4 linked regions of the Arabidopsis thaliana genome follow. The protein of the gene in region 2 interacts with the protein of the main gene of each other region in a pairwise test. Each region holds a gene or a part of one and is shown on either strand. Other genes may lie near its edges. The genes, in order: NF-YC2, PRR9, BBX19 and BBX18.

What was found.
Region 1: the proteins of PRR9 (region 2) and NF-YC2 interact in binary tests that used the Arabidopsis thaliana proteins (3 or more experiments, as listed by UniProt).
Region 3: the proteins of PRR9 (region 2) and BBX19 interact in binary tests that used the Arabidopsis thaliana proteins (3 or more experiments, as listed by UniProt).
Region 4: the proteins of PRR9 (region 2) and BBX18 interact in binary tests that used the Arabidopsis thaliana proteins (3 or more experiments, as listed by UniProt).

Annotation. Positions count from the first base shown.
Region 1 is NC_003070.9:21,022,286-21,026,505, forward strand, and holds NF-YC2 (nuclear factor Y, subunit C2), read left to right. Parts: upstream 1-2,196; 5' UTR 2,197-2,511; exon of another isoform or gene 2,512-2,819; 5' UTR 2,820-2,832; coding exon 2,833-3,432; 3' UTR 3,433-3,617; downstream 3,618-4,220. Other genes in the region: MYB72 (myb domain protein 72), read left to right, coding at 99-237, 323-452, 538-1,159; AT1G56180 (ATP-dependent zinc metalloprotease), read right to left, coding at 3,958-4,113. UniProt on the Arabidopsis thaliana protein: Stimulates the transcription of various genes by recognizing and binding to a CCAAT motif in promoters.
Region 2 is NC_003071.7:19,230,542-19,235,827, reverse strand, and holds PRR9 (pseudo-response regulator 9), read right to left. Parts: upstream 3,222-5,286; 5' UTR 2,955-3,221; coding exon 2,768-2,954; intron 2,668-2,767; coding exon 2,506-2,667; exon of another isoform or gene 2,498-2,505; intron 2,409-2,497; coding exon 2,278-2,408; exon of another isoform or gene 2,200-2,277; coding exon of another isoform or gene 2,191-2,199; coding exon 2,071-2,190; intron 1,911-2,070; coding exon 1,639-1,910; intron 1,555-1,638; coding exon 1,119-1,554; coding exon of another isoform or gene 1,092-1,118; exon of another isoform or gene 1,026-1,091; coding exon 927-1,025; 3' UTR 649-926; downstream 1-648. Other genes in the region: AT2G46780 (RNA-binding (RRM/RBD/RNP motifs) family protein), read right to left, coding at 4,785-4,906, 4,994-5,286. UniProt on the Arabidopsis thaliana protein: Transcriptional repressor of CCA1 and LHY, and positive regulator of LWD1 and LWD2 expression. Controls photoperiodic flowering response and temperature compensation. Involved in the positive and negative feedback loops of the circadian clock.
Region 3 is NC_003075.7:18,158,969-18,163,846, reverse strand, and holds BBX19 (B-box type zinc finger family protein), read right to left. Parts: upstream 2,760-4,878; 5' UTR 2,272-2,759; coding exon 2,179-2,271; intron 1,973-2,178; coding exon 1,877-1,972; intron 1,792-1,876; coding exon 1,759-1,791; exon of another isoform or gene 1,679-1,758; intron 1,554-1,678; coding exon 1,457-1,553; intron 1,341-1,456; coding exon 1,225-1,340; intron 1,125-1,224; coding exon 963-1,124; coding exon of another isoform or gene 886-962; coding exon 802-885; 3' UTR 526-801; downstream 1-525. Other genes in the region: FBA2 (fructose-bisphosphate aldolase 2), read left to right, coding at 1-133.
Region 4 is NC_003071.7:9,124,372-9,128,838, reverse strand, and holds BBX18 (B-box zinc finger family protein), read right to left. Parts: upstream 2,577-4,467; 5' UTR 2,338-2,576; coding exon 2,245-2,337; intron 1,863-2,244; coding exon 1,766-1,862; intron 1,675-1,765; coding exon 1,559-1,674; intron 1,476-1,558; coding exon 1,311-1,475; intron 1,235-1,310; coding exon 1,187-1,234; 3' UTR 852-1,186; downstream 1-851. Other genes in the region: FBA1 (fructose-bisphosphate aldolase 1), read left to right, coding at 1-62, 145-423. UniProt on the Arabidopsis thaliana protein: Acts as a negative regulator of seedling photomorphogenesis. Acts as a negative regulator of blue light-mediated inhibition of hypocotyl elongation through increase of bioactive gibberellin levels.

The sequences.
Region 1 (4,220 bases), on a different chromosome or scaffold from region 2:
TATATAGGAGCTCCTGATAATAATCAAAAACATAACATTGCATATATAGAGAAAGATATAGTGAAGGTAGCTATAGAGAAGAAAGTAGTGTAATAAGAATGGGGAAAGGAAGAGCACCATGCTGCGACAAGAACAAAGTGAAGAGAGGGCCATGGAGCCCTCAAGAAGATCTCACTCTCATCACTTTTATTCAAAAACATGGCCATCAAAACTGGAGATCTCTTCCCAAGCTTGCTGGTTAGTATTTATTCACATGCATGTTTCGGTAATACTATAAAGTTTTAAATAACTAAGAGAAATAATGATTGATATATATACATAGGATTGTTGAGATGTGGGAAAAGTTGCCGACTAAGATGGATAAACTATCTGAGACCGGACGTGAAGCGAGGCAACTTTAGCAAAAAGGAGGAAGATGCTATCATTCACTACCATCAAACCCTTGGAAACAAGTTTGTACTCTACCTATTCATCTAATTTCTTTATAATAAGACAATATATAGTATGTAGAGACTAATTGATATATGTGATCATCAGGTGGTCAAAGATCGCGTCCTTCTTGCCGGGAAGAACTGACAACGAGATCAAAAACGTGTGGAACACGCATCTCAAGAAACGACTCACTCCATCTTCTTCTTCTTCATCCCTCTCTAGCACTCATGACCAAAGCACAAAAGCAGATCATGACAAGAACTGTGACGGGGCTCAAGAAGAAATACATTCAGGGTTAAATGAGAGCCAAAACTCAGCTACTTCGTCACATCACCAAGGCGAGTGTATGCACACAAAACCAGAGCTTCATGAGGTTAATGGACTCAACGAGATCCAGTTCCTGCTCGACCATGATGACTTTGATGATATAACCTCTGAGTTTCTTCAGGATAACGATATCTTATTTCCGCTAGACTCTCTTCTTCATAACCACCAAACTCACATTTCAACCCAAGAAATGACTCGAGAGGTAACCAAATCGCAATCATTTGATCATCCTCAACCGGATATCCCATGCGGATTTGAAGACACAAACGAAGAATCCGACTTGAGGAGACAGCTGGTTGAATCAACCACACCTAACAATGAGTACGACGAGTGGTTCAACTTCATTGACAACCAAACTTACTTTGATGATTTTAATTTCGTCGGAGAAGTATGTCTATGAATGTCAATAATATATGCATGACCAGTGTTGTATCCACTTTTGAATGTTGAGTAAATTACTATTTTACATGGATTGCCCATGCATTGAGAAGATGCTATGTTTTATGAGAGCTCTATGATATTGGTTCGTTTTTCGGCTAGATTCACACAAACAACTCTTCTCTTTTCCTTCTCGATCACTCTTATGGCTGCTCTCAGAGTCTCCGTTTTCAGAGGCCAAAACAGGTCGCAGGTTGATGGCTGGCAATGGCAGCATCGACTGCTTCCGGTGTGTCGAGATCAGGCGCCACACCAAGCATCAAGTCCTGAAATCGAATTAGGTGTGTGTAAGTTTCTTAGCCTAGATACAAACAACAAGAAATATGACTCCAACTGTACTCATCATTTCAATCACTTGATATTTGCTTCCTGTAAGGGCTTCAATGTCAAAAGCTTCTGAATTATCCTAAGTCCATACATATTTGAGAGACTGAGACGGTCTCAGTGAGACCAAACAGAAGAAGAAAAGAAAAGAAAAAAACAGAACAAATACTACAAAGAATACACAAACTTTTGATTCTTGCTCCAACCGTTTATTAAAGCACATGACCTGTTTGGGATCATCACATATCACACTAGAATCACAAAAACTACAAATTTCACAGCTCCGAGCACGCAATGATTAACAGAAATCCGACAACTACACCAATCTCTTACAGATTAAAACACAAAGAAGAGAGCTTGTGTAAGTTAAACACGTATGGTAAATACATTAGCAGTAAGAAGATACCTTGGCTTCTGAAAAGTGGAGCAATTGTGGACTTCACATAGAGGGATGGAGGAGACTGTTCTGCTCCTTACAGAACAAAACTAGCGACGACTCTGCACATAATTATCGGCATAATTAAACAAAGTCTGGCTCTTTCGAACCCCAAAGAAGAGTGGCGATAGCAAAGATGGATCCTTTGCCTCTGCAACTTCTTTCGATGGTTTCCTTTCCTCTGCTTCCCGTTTCCCTTTACTCTGTTGACAATTAGGGTCAAGTTTTGATCCGGCCCGGGTGATTTACAGCCCACAAGGTCCAATGGGCTTCTTCGAAAATAAGTTTGCGCGACGTTGCAAATGTCACGTGACTTTTGTTCACGCGCACTTCACGTGTTCTTCGTTATTCTTCGAAACCGTCCGATAAAGAAATTTCTGGAATAACACAACATAACCAATGAAAAGCATACAGGTGGAAGTAACGTAAAAACTCCCGCTTTTTCGACACGTGTCAACTAGGCGGAAGATACGCACCACCAGAAACGCTTGATAAAAAGCTAACCCGCCCCAAACCCATTTATCTTAGGGTTTCGCGAGATCTCACTCTCACTGGTATGTCTGTGTTTCTTCTTCCATTTTCTGTTTCTATTGGAAACTTCTCTCTCCAATTTCGTTTTCTTCACTTCTTTGATCCTTTAGCTTTGACAAAACCGTAGTAAAGGATCAAAAGTTATCATCTTTGGTCCATGTTGTGAATCGTGCTCTGCTTGGGTCGTGACTCCCAAATCCGGATTTGAAACCAGCATATCTGAGCTTAATTCGAGCATGCATGCGCTTCTTTTTTTCTGATTTTTTTTAGACTTTGGTTCTAAATCCCTTAACTTTGGATTAACTGTCAATCTACAATTTTATATTAACAGAGATAGCTTAGCAATGGAGCAGTCAGAAGAGGGTCAACAGCAACAGCAACAGGGAGTGATGGATTATGTACCTCCTCATGCTTATCAGAGTGGGCCAGTAAATGCAGCTTCCCATATGGCATTCCAACAAGCTCACCACTTCCACCACCACCATCAGCAGCAACAACAGCAGCAGCTTCAGATGTTCTGGGCTAACCAAATGCAAGAGATCGAGCATACCACTGATTTCAAGAACCACACCCTTCCCCTAGCCCGCATCAAGAAGATCATGAAAGCTGATGAAGATGTGAGGATGATCTCTGCGGAGGCTCCTGTGATTTTTGCCAAGGCCTGTGAGATGTTCATTTTGGAGCTCACTCTACGTGCTTGGATCCACACCGAGGAGAACAAGAGGAGGACCTTGCAGAAGAACGACATCGCCGCTGCCATTTCCAGGACCGACGTGTTTGATTTCCTTGTGGACATAATCCCGAGGGACGAGCTGAAAGAAGAAGGTTTAGGCGTGACCAAAGGGACCATACCATCGGTGGTGGGTTCCCCGCCATACTATTACTTGCAACAACAGGGGATGATGCAACACTGGCCCCAGGAGCAACACCCTGATGAGTCTTAAAACTTTTCCCCTTTCGTTTGTTTGGTTGTATCGTAGTAAGGTAGCTCTGCTCTGCTGGGAACCATTTCTATTGTGTTCTGTAATGACATGTTAGTATATCCCCAGTCTATATCTATGGCAATGCAGTTTCTGTTCTCATGTGCATTAAATAATAACAAGAATGATAGAAAGAAAATCACTACTAGTAATGCCCAAAACTTTACTTCACAGGAATTCAACTATACAGCTTTCATGTGATTGCTACTTTACAACCATTTTCTTTATGCTATTAAAAGCTTGGCTCCTATTCCTTTAAAGTTTAAACCTTGTCATCCTCCACATCTCCCTTAGTGGATAAAACCTTAACTTACTTGAACATGGATCCAAAGATACAAGTCCCTTCTCGCCATTCCAGTTGCAGTCAGGTGGTTTATATACCGAGATACCGAGAGCTTATCTGCTTCGGTCTCCATGCATTCCAAATGAGTTTTTTTTTTATGGGCTGTCCGTATTAGTAATAAATTACAGAAAATGCTGGTGCTTCAATCATTTGCTTGAAGACATGGCTTCCTCAATCCTTCTAATCACAATGCTAAGAGGACTTCCCACTTGGAGAGCTTCAACAGCGGCCCTATGTGCTGCCTTGTGCCACTTGAGTAGATTGTAAGATTGTAGAACAGACCACCTGGCTTGATTCGACATCTGTATGATCAAACGCACAGATTCGCAATGCTTAACAATCTGTACACTTGTGCAAGAAAAGTGGAAGCACATATTATACTAGTCAAATCAGATATATATGAATTTCA
Region 2 (5,286 bases):
ATCTAAAGTTATAATAAAATATAGGTGTAAAAACATTTTACACTTAAACTAATGAAAATATATAAACATTTTAGTTATATAAATGTTATGGTGAAACTAATTAGTTTTACTTAAAAATAATTTTGAAGGTAAATAAAACAAAAAAAAAAAGAATGAAAAAAGTAATACCTTGTTGGATTTAGTAGCAAAAAGGGCCCATAGAGCAAAGCCCATTCCAAAGTCAGATTTGAGCCCGTCGGTCTTTGGTAGCCCTCTCGTGACATCATCCACCACCATAAAGCTCTCCCCTCTCTTGGCTATATCCTCCTCTTTGTAGTCTCCTCTTTGAAGACAAAATTGTCTTGAGAAGAGAACTAGGGTTGAAGAATAAGAAGAAGCGAGAGATAGAGAGTTTTGATTTGTCGAATGTTTTAGAAGAAGCGTTGAGACTCTCACTAATTATTTATTTATAAGCAAAGAAAAGGAAACTGATAATCACAATTAACGGTCACAAAATCTTAGTTTAACGGTCACAAAAAAAGATTTCTTTGTTGATTTTTCTTTCGATAGCTTTTGTTTCCTTTTTTTGTTTCTCTGACTGTGAGAGAATTAATGTGATGAGTTTTAATACATAGACTATAGCAATGGTATATAAATCAAGTTTTATAGAATCTGTTTCTTGTTGGTATGTATCGAGAGAGAAGCGGCCTGGATATGATCACAACAAGAAATATTTCTCAACTTAACGAAATTGGAATTACTGTTTTAGCTTAGCCTGATCATTTGCAGACATATATACAAAAGTTGCCCCAGTATCTCATATTAGCTGAGAAGAAGAAGCCAATCAAATACATAAAAAAAAAAAGCACACTAAAGATTGCAAAAGCTAAATAAGTTTCTGTTATAAAATCAACAAAAGAAATCAGAGGAAAAACTGAAAGAGCTCTTCATGATTTTGTAGACGCGTCTGAATTCACGGTTCGCACGAACTGGCCTTTCACTCGAGGACGTTGTTCTGCTAGCTTCTTCCTGCTCTGGTACCGAACCTGTAATCCATTTTTATACATCTCCATTGAATCAGTTTGATCTTGTATTTGTTTCAGATGCTGTTTTTATGATGAAGCTTGTGTGTCTCTTACCTTTTTGTCAAAGCATCGATCTTTCCTCTTCAACCGGAACTTCATCAATGCAGCTTCTCTCTGGCTTCTACTCCAACGTTGTTTCGCACTTTCTTCTTCCTTTGGTTTCTCTGTGCTACTGCTTTGTCCAGCAATCCCCTCATTGGTGCTTTGAGAACCAGCTTCTACTTCCTTGCTAGCTGCTTTCTCGCGATTTGATTCTACCGGTATGGGTGAATCTTGCTTCTGATTCGTTACTGTGGACTGAAGAACTTGGTTACGGAAGCTTACGCTTGATGATCCGATATTCTCCTGGTTGCTGCTCGTTGTGGCGCTTCCTTGATCAGATGTTACTTTTCTTAACTTTTCATGTGATTCGGTTGGTGTCTTTGGCTCACCTGAAGTACTCTCCTCTAAAGCAACGACGGCTTTTTCTGCTGACTTGCTTTCCTCAAATCTGCAAGTTAAGTAGAGTTATTGATTAAAAACACTAATTACAAGATTTGAGGCATTCTTTATTCAAGCAAGGAAACATGCATACCTTGAGAAGGCCGACGCATCAGAGAGGCTAAGCTTTTGATGCTTGCTTTCATCTTGGTTCTCAAAACTTACAGAGCAAGATCTTTTCAGAGAAAGTCCAAGCTCAGGACCAACACACTCATCTCGACTCTTGTCTTTATAAATACTATCAGGACGCTTGTCAATTCCACCAATCAAATCCATTGTCACATCAAAAGTTTCCTTAAACTCGTCTCTTTCATCCACTGATTTGCCATTCTCCATCAGCTTATTGTGACCATTGTAATTGATAGCCTGCATAAGCATGTACACGATATTAGCTTCTACTAAAATGAGATAAACATGAGATATACAATGCAATCTCAAGATGAAAATCTCACAACTCATACAAAACACAATTCAGAAGGACCAGAACATATATTATGTAAAACTCAGATGGTAATATTTATTATACCTGAGCACCACTTCCTTGATCTGAATGATATCTGGAATCTTCACAAGTTTCATCAGTATCTTCAAGGTTGTGCTGTGAAGCTGGTAAGCTTTGAGCATGAGCAGTAGGATCATCACGCAACTGATCCATAACCAAAAAAGACAATAAGTCTTTCAAGTTTCAAACTTCAACACAAGGAAACCTCAAAAAAGGAAATAAAAAATTTACAGTCAGTCTTCTCCAAACATGTTGCCATAGATTTTTCAACTCGTTTTTCCTCATTGGTTTGATTAGATAATCAGCAGCACCTCTCAGCATACACTTCAACACCATTTTTATCGAATCTTGAGAAGACATCACTATTCATTTCAAACAAACAACAAAAGCATAAGAACCAAAAAACTAACAAAGAGGCGTTTTTAGAGGTATAAAGGACTTAGGGGATCACCATCGTACTTATGACAGGAATGTTCTTGCAAGCTTCATGCTCCATTACCAAAGCAAGCAGAGCAAAACCAGATATAGATGGCAAATCCAGCTCTGTTAGTATAAGATCAATGTTATGTGACTTCTCCTTTAGAACCTCCCACGCAGCTAAACCATCAGAAACAGCTACAACTGTATTCAATCAAAAAGCATGAACCGAGTTTAATTTCAAACATCAAAACATAAAAATGAAAACTTTAACATAAGCTAATGAAAGGAAAGACCAATCGACCTTTGTAACAGCATTTACGAAGAAGGGCAGTGATGATTTGACGAGTTGAGTAATCAGATTCAACTAACAAAACCCTAAGTACAGTTTTAGGCAAATACTTCTCCCACTGAACAACTTCCGATGACTTTACTCTGTTCTTTATAGTCTCCATACCATCATCACTACTTAAAACCACAATCTCCCCCATAGACTCAGACCTCAAAACAAACTGAATCACAACACTTGGTAAAACCAACAAAGCCTAAAACACACAAAAATAGAAACAAGAATCTAGATCAACGAGCTTTAGATCTTAATCTACCGAGAAATATTGTTTCAGACTGAATAAAAGAGAGAGAGAAAATATCAGATGTTGAAGTAAAGAAGAAGGAAGAAGAAAGTTAAACTCTTTAGTTTGGTATCTTTCGATCACAACCACGAAAATATCTTCTCAGAGAAAGAAGAAGACTTTGTTGTATAAGCTCAGAGCAAATAAACAATTTGAGAAATCTAATTAACGGTGTGTAACAAAGCGGGCCTTCACTGAGCTGACGTGGCTTAATATGAGCCATTGTTTTGATTTTCTCTGTATCGCGGCTGATTCGGTGGAGGTGGTCCTCTGCTTCGCAGGTCCACCTTAACACGTGTCATTAACCTAATCGCTCTACGGAAGTGGAGATATTCGTCTGAATATCTAGTGGTCATGTGGATGACACGTGGGTTTCTATTGTAATTGTGTGGCTAAGTTTGATTTTTGGTTGGATTTAATAAATTCTAAAAGGTAGATTTTTTTTTTTCAGCTGCTCTATGTATCATTCAAATTGGATGGCTTTTTTTGTTCCTTTTTTCAAAAAAGTTAATTATATTAAATGTTATTAAATTTTCAATTGGGATTTAACAAATAGTATTATTTTCAAATATTAAATGCCCACTAGTTTTAATTAAATCAAATTTCGTTAGTGGCCGCGTAAATTTCGACTCCAAATGAAAAATTGGATTTTCTTGAATATAAAAATTTTCTGTGGATAAGAAGGAATTCTAGAACCATCTTAATAAAACTTTGCTTTGCGTGGAAAGAATATCTATCGATCTATGATGTGGACAGTGCGTAATAAACAACTTACCATATTCTTGCGTGTTTACATATCTAAGGCTTTAAGCTTTCTATGGCCAACTTACTTACACATATAAAAATTAATGGGCTTTATAAGAATTTAAGCCTTAGATTTTCAAAAGCCCATAACTTATGTATTCTCTATGTTTTGTTTGTTTGGTTTTTATTATAAAATTGTTAAAAGAATAGTAGAAGTGAAATATTATCCATTGACGAAGAAAAAGATCCGTTTGATTCCAACGGTCTTTTGACCGGTACTTTTGTCTTCATAAGATCCCCTTTGGAATCCAAAGACAATAATCATTTTACTCTCAGAAAATGATCATACGAATTCAAAATAATTATCAAAAAGGTTCAATCTTTTTATGATTATAAAACACGAGAAAACTCCAGGTGAAAGTGATCGATGAACGGATTCTTGGTTGATCAAACATTTTATAATCATAATAAACGAACAAATATAGTAAGAAGAAGCAATGTGATTGAATTATAACAATTTCAAGAATTACAAATGTAAAAGAAATGATTTTAAGCTTATCCGAAGCTTAAAAATCCTGTTTAGGTTCAAAAGAAGACATAAAACATTTCTTTTGAACCTGAAAAATAAAATTCCCCAAATGAATGTAATAATCTGATGATGCTTTCTGCACCAATCCAAGTTTTCTTAAGAATCTAAAAGAAAGCCACCAATGCTTTCTCTTGATTCTTTTACCTAAAATGCAATTTGAAACAACAACAAAAAAAAAGAAAGAATGTGATGATGGTTTCTTCTTCTTCTTCCTCCTCCTAAGTACTAATTAAGATTCTAGAATCCTAAAAACGATGGATGAATGAATGTTTCTAGAACGTTGTTGGAGAGATTTGATGATGAGTTAGTGTACAATGAAGTTTGTCCCTTCTTCTGGCTATTGTAGTAGTTCTGAATCAACCCTCTATCTTGATGGTTGATGTTGTCATTGCTTCATTACCATCTTTGCTGCTAGCTTCAGTTTCTGCTTTCTTTGTTGCTGTAGTTATAACTACTGTTTTTGTTGCTGTTGTTGCAGCTAATACAAAACAAAACAAAGAATCAAGCATGATTCAAAACAATGTGACAAATGGTTTTCAATGTAGATTGTGTTGTGAAATCAAACCTGAGGTGGAAGTTGAAGAGGACGGTGATGATGATGAAGGTAAAGATAGAGCCAGAGAGGTTGGGAGGGAGAGGATTGGAGGAGGAGGTTGCTGAGAGCTAAATTGCTGCTGAGAACTGAAGTGTGGCTGGTGAGGCAAGTAAGGATATTGCAGCAGAGGAGGAGCAGGAGGAGCAGTGTATTGAAAGCTGAAACCTTGGTGATGTTGAGCTTGAACTTGAGCTTGAGCTTGATTGCTACTTTGTGCTGCATTGTATTGAGGATAGTAGGGATAAAAACCATGGAACATTCCT
Region 3 (4,878 bases), on a different chromosome or scaffold from region 2:
CGTGAACGCAGCTCAGACCACTCTCTTGGCCCGTGCCAAGGCCAATTCGTTGGCTCAGCTCGGAAAATACACCGGTGAGGGTGAGTCCGAAGAGGCTAAGGAGGGCATGTTCGTCAAAGGGTACACCTATTGAAGAGATGATGCTGTGAAAAAAGAGATGAAGCAGATGTTTTAATCACATTTGTTTTTGAGTTTGCTTGTTATTAATCATGTCAAATCATTATTTTCTCTGCTTACTTTGCGTTAGCTACTCCTTTTAATAAGTTCTATTATATTGAAGTTATCTATCTCTCTTGATCTATTTAAACTTGAAACTACAACTATTCCATAATCAACCAATTTTAAATTTTGAACAAAGAGGATACAGGAGGAAATGGTCTCCACGAAGCTTACAATTCTCAAAGGACAACGCTTAGCCTCATGGGGCCTTTGCATATTAAGTGGGCTTAATCTTTTAATTGGCCCAATTTTTCGTCTTCTTTCTTTTTCGTCCATTTCCCAGAGGATTTTATTAAGAAAAAAAAACAGAAACAAATAAAATTATTTAGAATTTCAGAGATTAGCTTACATTCATGTGAGCACTTAAGCTAATTCCTTAAAACTAAGATAATGCACAAACAACATAAACCTTCCCTCTTCAACAACAAAGCTCGGTTACACCAGCAACGATCTAAGAATCAGAAGGAAGGAAAAAAAACGGACATGAAATCTCCAGTTCTTGAAACTTTTTACAATCTTCTTCTTAAACTGATTTTTTGAATCAGAGTAAAGAGTCTCTTTCTCTCTCTCTCTCTCACCTTATCACTTCTCAGACTCTCGTTTAAAGGGTCCAACTGGTACAAGGCCTGCAGGCTCGTGATTGTTCTCGTTATTTACATCAATCCCCTGCTCATTGAGAAACATTCGAATTGAGAATACAAAAACAAAGATTGAGAATATGTTGGATAGAGGGATTCATATACGTTGTTATTTGATGATGGCTCATGTACTCTTTGTGGATTAGCATTTAGATCAATCATTTCGTCATCAATCTTCCCATTGGCTTCACCATTTCCATTTGTAGAGACTCTTTGGTTCTGCAAATTGTCCCTCGTATTGTTTTCTTTAGGCTTATCCCCTGGAAACTACAAGAAACGATAAACACAAGATGACTATTAAAACTAAGAAATCGACTCAAAATGATTGTGTGTCTGCGTGAGAAAGAAACAATTAGTTAATTCAAACCTCGATTCTCTGTCTCAGCAAAAGAAACCGACCGTGTGTTCTCTTGCCACCAACATGTACTACCATGTCACATTGCAGACAAAGAGAACTACCGTCTATCTCACAGTAAAAGAAGGCTGTTCTCACAACAAAAAACATTGCAGACAAAAGATTTCTCTTCATTTTTCAATATATGTACATATGCGAAAACATTAAACACGAGTGTGGGAAGTTCATTGTAAAGAGATCATACCAGGTGCATTTTCGCATATATCACAGCATGGGGCATTGCTTGGTTCAGCTAAACCAACACGTACATGCCGACTAGCTAGCTTGTTGCACATATGAACCTGAAAGAAGAAAACATTACAAAGCTTTGAAGTAATCCATTTCCGATCAAAATCCGAAAACTACTAAGAGCTATTGCAGTAGAGAAGGATGAACCAATGACTCGAGAAGGACTATAAAGTGTTACCCTTAAGAGTCATCTAACTGAAGTAAGGATTAAGCGCAAAGAGCAGAAAATCGATTATTTTCTTCTCCAGAAGTTAATACTACTAAATGCAAACTCTGGAGACAAAACGTTCCCTGCAATGTACATGACAGAGTAGAATCATTGAAACCGCAGCAACAAACACTCATGTAATCAAACATGTAAATTCATCAACTGAACCATCTTAATCCACCAAATGAGAGAAGAGGTTTCAACTATTTGAACTCTTTTGACGGATTCACTACACTTCGAAATATCTAATCTCATGTGAAGAGCCTAAGAATCTAGAAACCAAATCTCAAAAATCTTATTTCTTTAGCTCAAAGTTATCGAAAAGCCAGATCAACTCAGGTCCAAATCAACTGAGAATTCCCAGACAGAGATAACAAAGACTTGATCTTTGACGAACCCATCAGAGCACAACCAATAGATAGAGAGGAGAGTTAAAGAAAAAAAGGAAGCTTTTTTGGGAGAGAAGTTACTTTTTCATCGCAGGGGCGACAAAGGGCAGCTTCATCGGCGGCGCAAAAGATGATTGCGGCTGCGTTCTCGCAAGCATCGCACAAAATCCGCATCTTGCTTTTTCAATCTTATAAGTCTTTTTCTCACTCTATTCGGAACAATGAATCTCACCTTCAAGACAAAATCTTTAGCCAGAACTCAGATTGCGATTGAAAGAGATGAGAAGTGGAAATAATAAGTAGAAACCTCTGATTAATTAAGGAGGAAGTAGATTAAGGGTTAGGATTACGCGTTGGTATCAAGGAACTAGAAGAAGAAGAAGAAAGGGAAGAAATTATTTAAGATTATAAAAATCGCTCCTTTAAAATCTTTTTCTACGATGGAGGAGAAGCTTGAGAGACCAGAAGAGACGACGACCAAATCCACGCGCCGAGAGTATCAAATAAGCATACTTTGCTGTGACAAGGCAAAATCTGTTAATTACTACTTTGAGTAAATTTCTCCAATCAATTACTTTTTTTCTTTAATTGTGTGTTTTGACTAACGAAAATTATGATTAAAGTAGTACCTAACAAGAAATGTGTGTAGTATGATTTAGGAGAAAATATTGGGAAGACCAAATCTTTTATAGTGGATATGGTTTTGAGTTATAAGATTGTTTAAAGTCCATTATATCAGAGACCATTATCAGACAAAAAGAAAAATGATATCGACTAAAAAGTGAAGACGAAAGACTCAATGCCATCTGGGAGGTCATTGATGTGTCTCCCTGAAACACATTCGTTGTCTTGTTTCCTTTGTTTTGGTGAAAAAGTTTTTTTTGTCACAATCTTTATATGATTTCTTGGATCCTATATCTGATTTTTTTTCTTCCTTTTTTTGACGGCAGCTGAAATAGTTTTAGGCAACATAATGTGCTAAGATTTAGGACGTGTGACTATTTTTAAAAGTAAAAATATAAACTAAAATAAATAAAAAAGGGGGAAAAAATAAGAGCCACAAAAGGAATTAAAAAAAAAGACAAAGAGGTGGGTGGGCCAAATGTCACCAGCCATTTAAAAAATTGGTGGTCGAGAAGTAGTTGAAAGCAACTCTCAAAACTCTACTAGTGGCCTTGGTTTAATGTTGTTTTTATTTCCTTGCCCATCTTCTCAATTTCATTTAACTAACATCTTCACAATTATCTTAGTTTTTTTTTCTTTTCATCCCAAAGTTTATTCTTTCTCTCCTCCATAAACATTCTTTTGTAGCTTGTTTTATGACACTTTGGCATTTGTAAAATTTGAAAGAAAAGTTTTGACGCACCCTATTCATAAACACGAGAATCAATATTTGCATAATTACAATGTTCTCTTCTGTTGAAAATATAGATTATGGTTTTTATAAAAAACAGAGCATCCAAAGAAGAGAGTTTGCCTGCCATGTGCATCATTGCTAAATGTTGGGCTTTACTTGTAATGTTGGGCTAGATATCCATTATATTTGTTATCAAAATATCATTATGACCTTCTGGGCCGGGAGAAAAGGTCTCTCACTAATGGGCTACGATGAAGTGGAGTGTGAGGTCCACGTGGCGGGTTTAAGGTTCCTAATTAAGTTTCAGGGGTAAACCGGTCATTAACTACCCAAGCCGAGAGAGAGAGAGTCTGAGAAACCGGCGAATAGAAGAAAAGAGAGAATCTTTGGGACCAAATCAATGGAGTGGTCCCTTCAGACAAAAGTTAAGAAGAAGAAGACGACGACGACTACGACGAAGAACAAACAACTACCAAACTTGTAGGCAGTAGCAGGAGGAAGTGGGTGGGATTAACATTGTCATTTCTCTCTCTTTTTCTTTTACAAATCTTTCCGTTTTGTTTTCTTTTGGTTTTCCGGTGAGCACTGTTGTGTTTCCAATTCCGGCACTCTTTAGGGTTCCCTTTCAGAAGAAAACTTCACATTGTTGTTTCTCTCAACCGTGACATCTTGGATTACTACTTCTGACTACTTTCCTTTTTCATGTGCCCCAAAAGATAATAGTTACTTTTTCAAAATCTGGTTTTGTTGTTTGGGTTTGTGTCATTCATTGATAAAGTCACTAATGGAGAAGTACAAAACAATTGCAAAATTTCGAATCTGTGTTGTCATTGCTGAATTCTGTAGTGGATGTTTGCTTGCAGTTTAGAGCTTCGGAGTGCGAAGAGTGAGACACAAGAGGATTCTTTCTGGAACCGCATTATTCCCTTTAGAGGAGGAAGAAGAAGACAACTCACTCACAAGGTAAAAACAGCTCCTTTGCATGTTTCTTTATCTTGCTTGTTAGAGATGTAGACAAGACACGCACTTTATAGACGCAAAATCTTAGTATTCTGGTTCAAGATTGAGATGCATTTTGTGATAATGATTAAATGTTCTGTTGGTGCAATTGATAAGGTTTCATTGAGTTTTGACTAAGTAAACTCCAAGTTACTTTTTTTAACCTTTAAACACGCATTTGTGACTGACCTTGTCTCCCTCTCCATTGATGAATTCAAAAACTACAAAGCTATTATTTTTATGTTTGATTTTGCGTGTACATATATTATAATCCAAGTTACTTTTCAAAGTTTAGAGTATGATAACTTATTTTTTTGTTCTCTACACTAGATGTATATGCATTTTATAAGGAGAAGCATGGTCTGTGGGACCATGCATTACCTCTCTTATTCGATTAAACAATGTTTAGATTTGGTAAAACGTGA
Region 4 (4,467 bases), about 10 Mb from region 2:
TTGCTTCCTACACTCTCAAGCTCCTTCGCAACAGAATCCCTCCTGCTGTCCCCGGAATCATGGCAAGTTTTCTCTGATACTGTAAACTTTTGCAGCTGAAGAAACTATGCTTGAGATTTATGTTAAACTATCTATTGTATGCAGTTCTTGTCTGGTGGACAGTCCGAGTTGGAGGCGACCTTGAACTTGAACGCAATGAACCAGGCACCGAACCCATGGCACGTGTCCTTCTCCTACGCACGTGCCTTGCAGAACACTTGCTTGAAGACATGGGGAGGCAAGGAAGAGAACGTGAAGGCGGCTCAGGACATTCTCTTGGCCAGAGCCAAAGCCAATTCGCTGGCTCAGCTCGGGAAATACACTGGAGAAGGCGAGTCTGAGGAAGCCAAGGAGGGTATGTTTGTAAAAGGCTACACCTACTAAGCTATTTGTAATAATGGTTCCATAGATCAAAACTCAAAAACTTGAGCTTGATTCTGGTCATTTGAGTTATTATACTCTTCTTCAGGTATAAAAGTCAGTTCTGTGTTATCATGTGAGACTAGTTTTGTTTCTTCATGGTTAATATCTTAGTACCTACTCGTTACTACTAATAATTGAGTTAGTAGTCTGTTTCTATCATTGTTATCACTCAAAAACTCTGTCTTTACAAGTTATGAAACTAGTAACATTATGCTCTCTGAGCTCAAAATCACATCTAATGCAGGAAAATGACATTACAATTTATGTTCAAAAAAATGGAGCGAGAAACATCGAAACAGTATGTTGAGACTTGAGTAATGAGAGATTGCAGTTCAAGATCATATGACTCTCAAATTACTCATGTTTATAACTCAGAGTTAACAAAACTAATCAGAGAGAGAAGAAGAAGATAATAGTCATGGCTCATGGTGATCACTTAAACCGAGCCAAGAAGGCATCTCCTTTAATGGCTAACCATTTTACTATTTTCTATTAAAGCTTTGTCTGAATGTGAGAAGAGAGAAAATCATATATTTGAGATATAACTCTGAAGAATCGTTATCCACTAATTGATCATTTCACAAAAGAAAGGAAAAGAGAAGAAATTCAGAAAACAACATATTTGTTTCCTCTAAGCTAATTTCTTCAAAACAAAATAAGACATTTCCCTGTAAAGATACTGTTCTTGCATAGGTTCTTACTTGATCTTGTGTATCTGCGATCACTATTCATGCTCGTGATTGTTTGCGTTATTTACATCAATACCCTCCTCCTTGAAACACAAACAAAACAGCTTTAGAGACACTGAGGCAAGATTGATTATGTTCATCTAGATAAGATACACGTACTTGGTTATGTGATCCAGGCTCGTGTACTCTTTGAGGATTGGAGTTAAGATCGATCATATTATGATCATGATCACCATTCCCATTTGATTCTTGACCACGACCAGAGGAAGCCTTTTGACACCGTAGTCCCAGTTGGTCAGCATGATTAGGCTTATCGCCTGGAAACTACAAGAACACAACATTGTAAAGAACAGTCAATACCACAAATCAAGAATGCTTCAAGATCCTTGCATTTTCAAAAGTCAAACCTCAATTCTCTGTCTCAGTAATAGAAACCGCCTATGTGTTCTCTTCCCACCAACATGTACCACCATATCACATTGTAGACAAAGGGAACTACCATCTATCTCACAGTAAAAGAATGCTGTTCATCGATCAACAACAAAACAAACATGTCAAAAACTGAAACTTCCGCTTCCTCTTATACACTAAAGAAAGAGGAATCATATCAATACCGGGTGCATTTTCGCATATGTCACAGCTTGGTGCATTACTCGGATCAGCTAAGCCTACACGAAGATGCCGACTAGCCAGCTTGTTGCACTTATGAACCTAAACACACAAACAAAAATGTTTCTTTCTTATAACTTATATCTAACCACGTCCTCAATCAAAGCCATTGCAGATAACAAAAAGTCTCATAGCTCTTCCAGCTTCAATAGAGTGACTGTAACTGTAAATAAAGTGTATCACCAGAGAACTGCTATATGCAAAGTTCAAATTATGACAAGCTAAAATCACTAGAATGTTTCTTTAACAATCAAAACACAACTTTTGGTACTACTTTGGCCATGTTCGAGTTATAATAACCTCAAAATCTATAAATTTAGCACTTCAACTAGATATTGTCTCAAAAATTCCAAATTTTTGCATTTGTTGAGATAAAAGTGTTACTTTAAGAAAAATGAGATTTTTTTCAGGTAAAGGTGGTTACTTTTTCGTCGCAGGAGCAACAGAGGGCAGCTTCGTCGGCGGCGCAAAAGACGATAGCGGCGGCGCTCTCACAAGCATCACACAAAATTCGCATGTTTTTTACTCAAACGATTAGTCTCACTTTCAAAGTTAGCATCTTTCGCCAAACCCAAATTCTGATTGTTGAAGCGGAAGATGGAGAGACTAAAGGGTTTAGGATTAATGGATAATACGAGATAAAGTAAGAAGAGGAAGGAGATTTTTTGAATCAAACTAAGAAGAAGAAGAAGAAGAAGAAGAAGAAGAAGAAGAAGAAGAAGAAAGCAGAGAGCAGCAGAGAAATATGATGGATAGATGAATTTGCAGACGCTGCGAGTAGCTTGTATATGTATACTCGCTCTATCTCCCCTTTATTTGATTTCCCTTCTGATGGCCAAAATTAAACATAGATAGGATTTTTTTTTTTTTTTTTTGTATTTGACTCTTTGTCAAATATTTTTTAATCTTTTAAAATTTTTTCACATTTTTAGGAATATGTTCTATATGAAATTATGGGTTTGAATGGTAGGTGAGTGTATACACCATTTTGATTGTTAATTTGTTATTAATTATTTTAAAAGGAAATTGCAGTGTCAAAAATGGTCTCAAAATTTATCATTAATTGTTATTGTAATTTTTTTTGAACTATTCTACTATAGTTTTTGTGTACTTTTGCTAAGCTGAAAATCTTAACACATTCTGAAGTATCAATTGGAGCATATAATATTGAAAATTCAACTATACATTTTTATTAGTAAATGTTGATGTAAAAAAAAAAAGCTTGAATCTTTAACTGTTTTATGCGGAAGCTCTCACTAAATCTCTCTTTGTTCGATCACTCGTGTGTTTAGACAAAGAAAGTAAAACAGACACAAGCAAATGTTAACCCAGTTCACGTTCAGTGATGAACGCTACGTCTGGACCGAGATTACCCGGAAATCCACTAGAAAGCCTTGGTTACACAAACCCTTAGAAACAAGACTGAATAAACTTTCAGCTGCCTCTCTTGCACTTACTCTCTTAACCCTAATGTCTCACTTATCTTCTCCTTTATACAACTCTACTCACCGCCACGCTCCTCTCTCTTCTTCCGTACTCTGTTTCAAATGCAGAGACAAAGAGACAAAATGGTTGAACCATTGGCAAGAGGTTAATTACGTCTCTAGCCTTGATGAGCTGTATGACAAAGCACGTGCGCCTCTCGTGACTTCGTTTCTTTCACAAGCTGAGACCTTCTCTTTGGATTAGAGTCTTTATGACACTTTAGGCAATACTTCCACAAAACTTCACCTTGCCTTAGTGTCAACCTTTCCTTTGCTTCCCTTCTAGTGTAACTTGATTTCCATCTCGGACCATGATCCCTTATCAGGCACTTGTAACCCTGAGCTTCTTCAACGCGCTCAGGAACTTGTTAACCGGTACCACCTTTGTGAAAATATCCGATGGATTATGAACTGTGGATATTTTCAGCACTTTCACTTCTCCATCAGTGATTGCATCTCTGATGTAATGAAACCTTCTCTGGATATGCTTTGTCCTTTCATGATGAACTGCATTCTTTGCTAAAGCTATAGCACTCTGAGAATCACAATGGATATCTACCGCTCCTTGTTTAAATCCCAGCTCATTCATCAAGTCTTTTAGCCAATATGCTTCTTTTGCAGCCTCTGTTAAGGCTATATACTCAGCCTCTGTTGATGACAGTGCAACAACTGGCTGCAAGCATGACCTCCAGCTTACTATGTTCCCTCCTACAGTGAATGTGTACCCTGTGGTCGATCTACTTCGATCACGATCTCCAGAGTGATCTGAATCACAGTACCCTGTCACCACAAAATCACCTTCTCTCTTGTACTGCAGCCTTGAATCAATAGACCCCTTAATGTAACGGAGAACCCATTTCACACCTAGCCAATGATTCATCAATGGTTTACTCATAAACCTACTTATGACTCCAACAGGATGAGCAAGGTCAGGCCTTGACCCGATCATAGAATACATTATGCTTCCCACTGCATTTGCATAAGGTATAGACTTCATTTGATCAGCTTGCTCCTCTGCTTCAGTCTCTGTTGCTGCTACAAACTTCATATGTGGTGCCAATGGTGTTTTAACAGGCTTGCATTCATCCATTCTGAATGTCTTTAACACCTTTTGCAGATAACTTCTCTGAGATAACTCCAAAATATTTTCTTCTCGGTTTCTT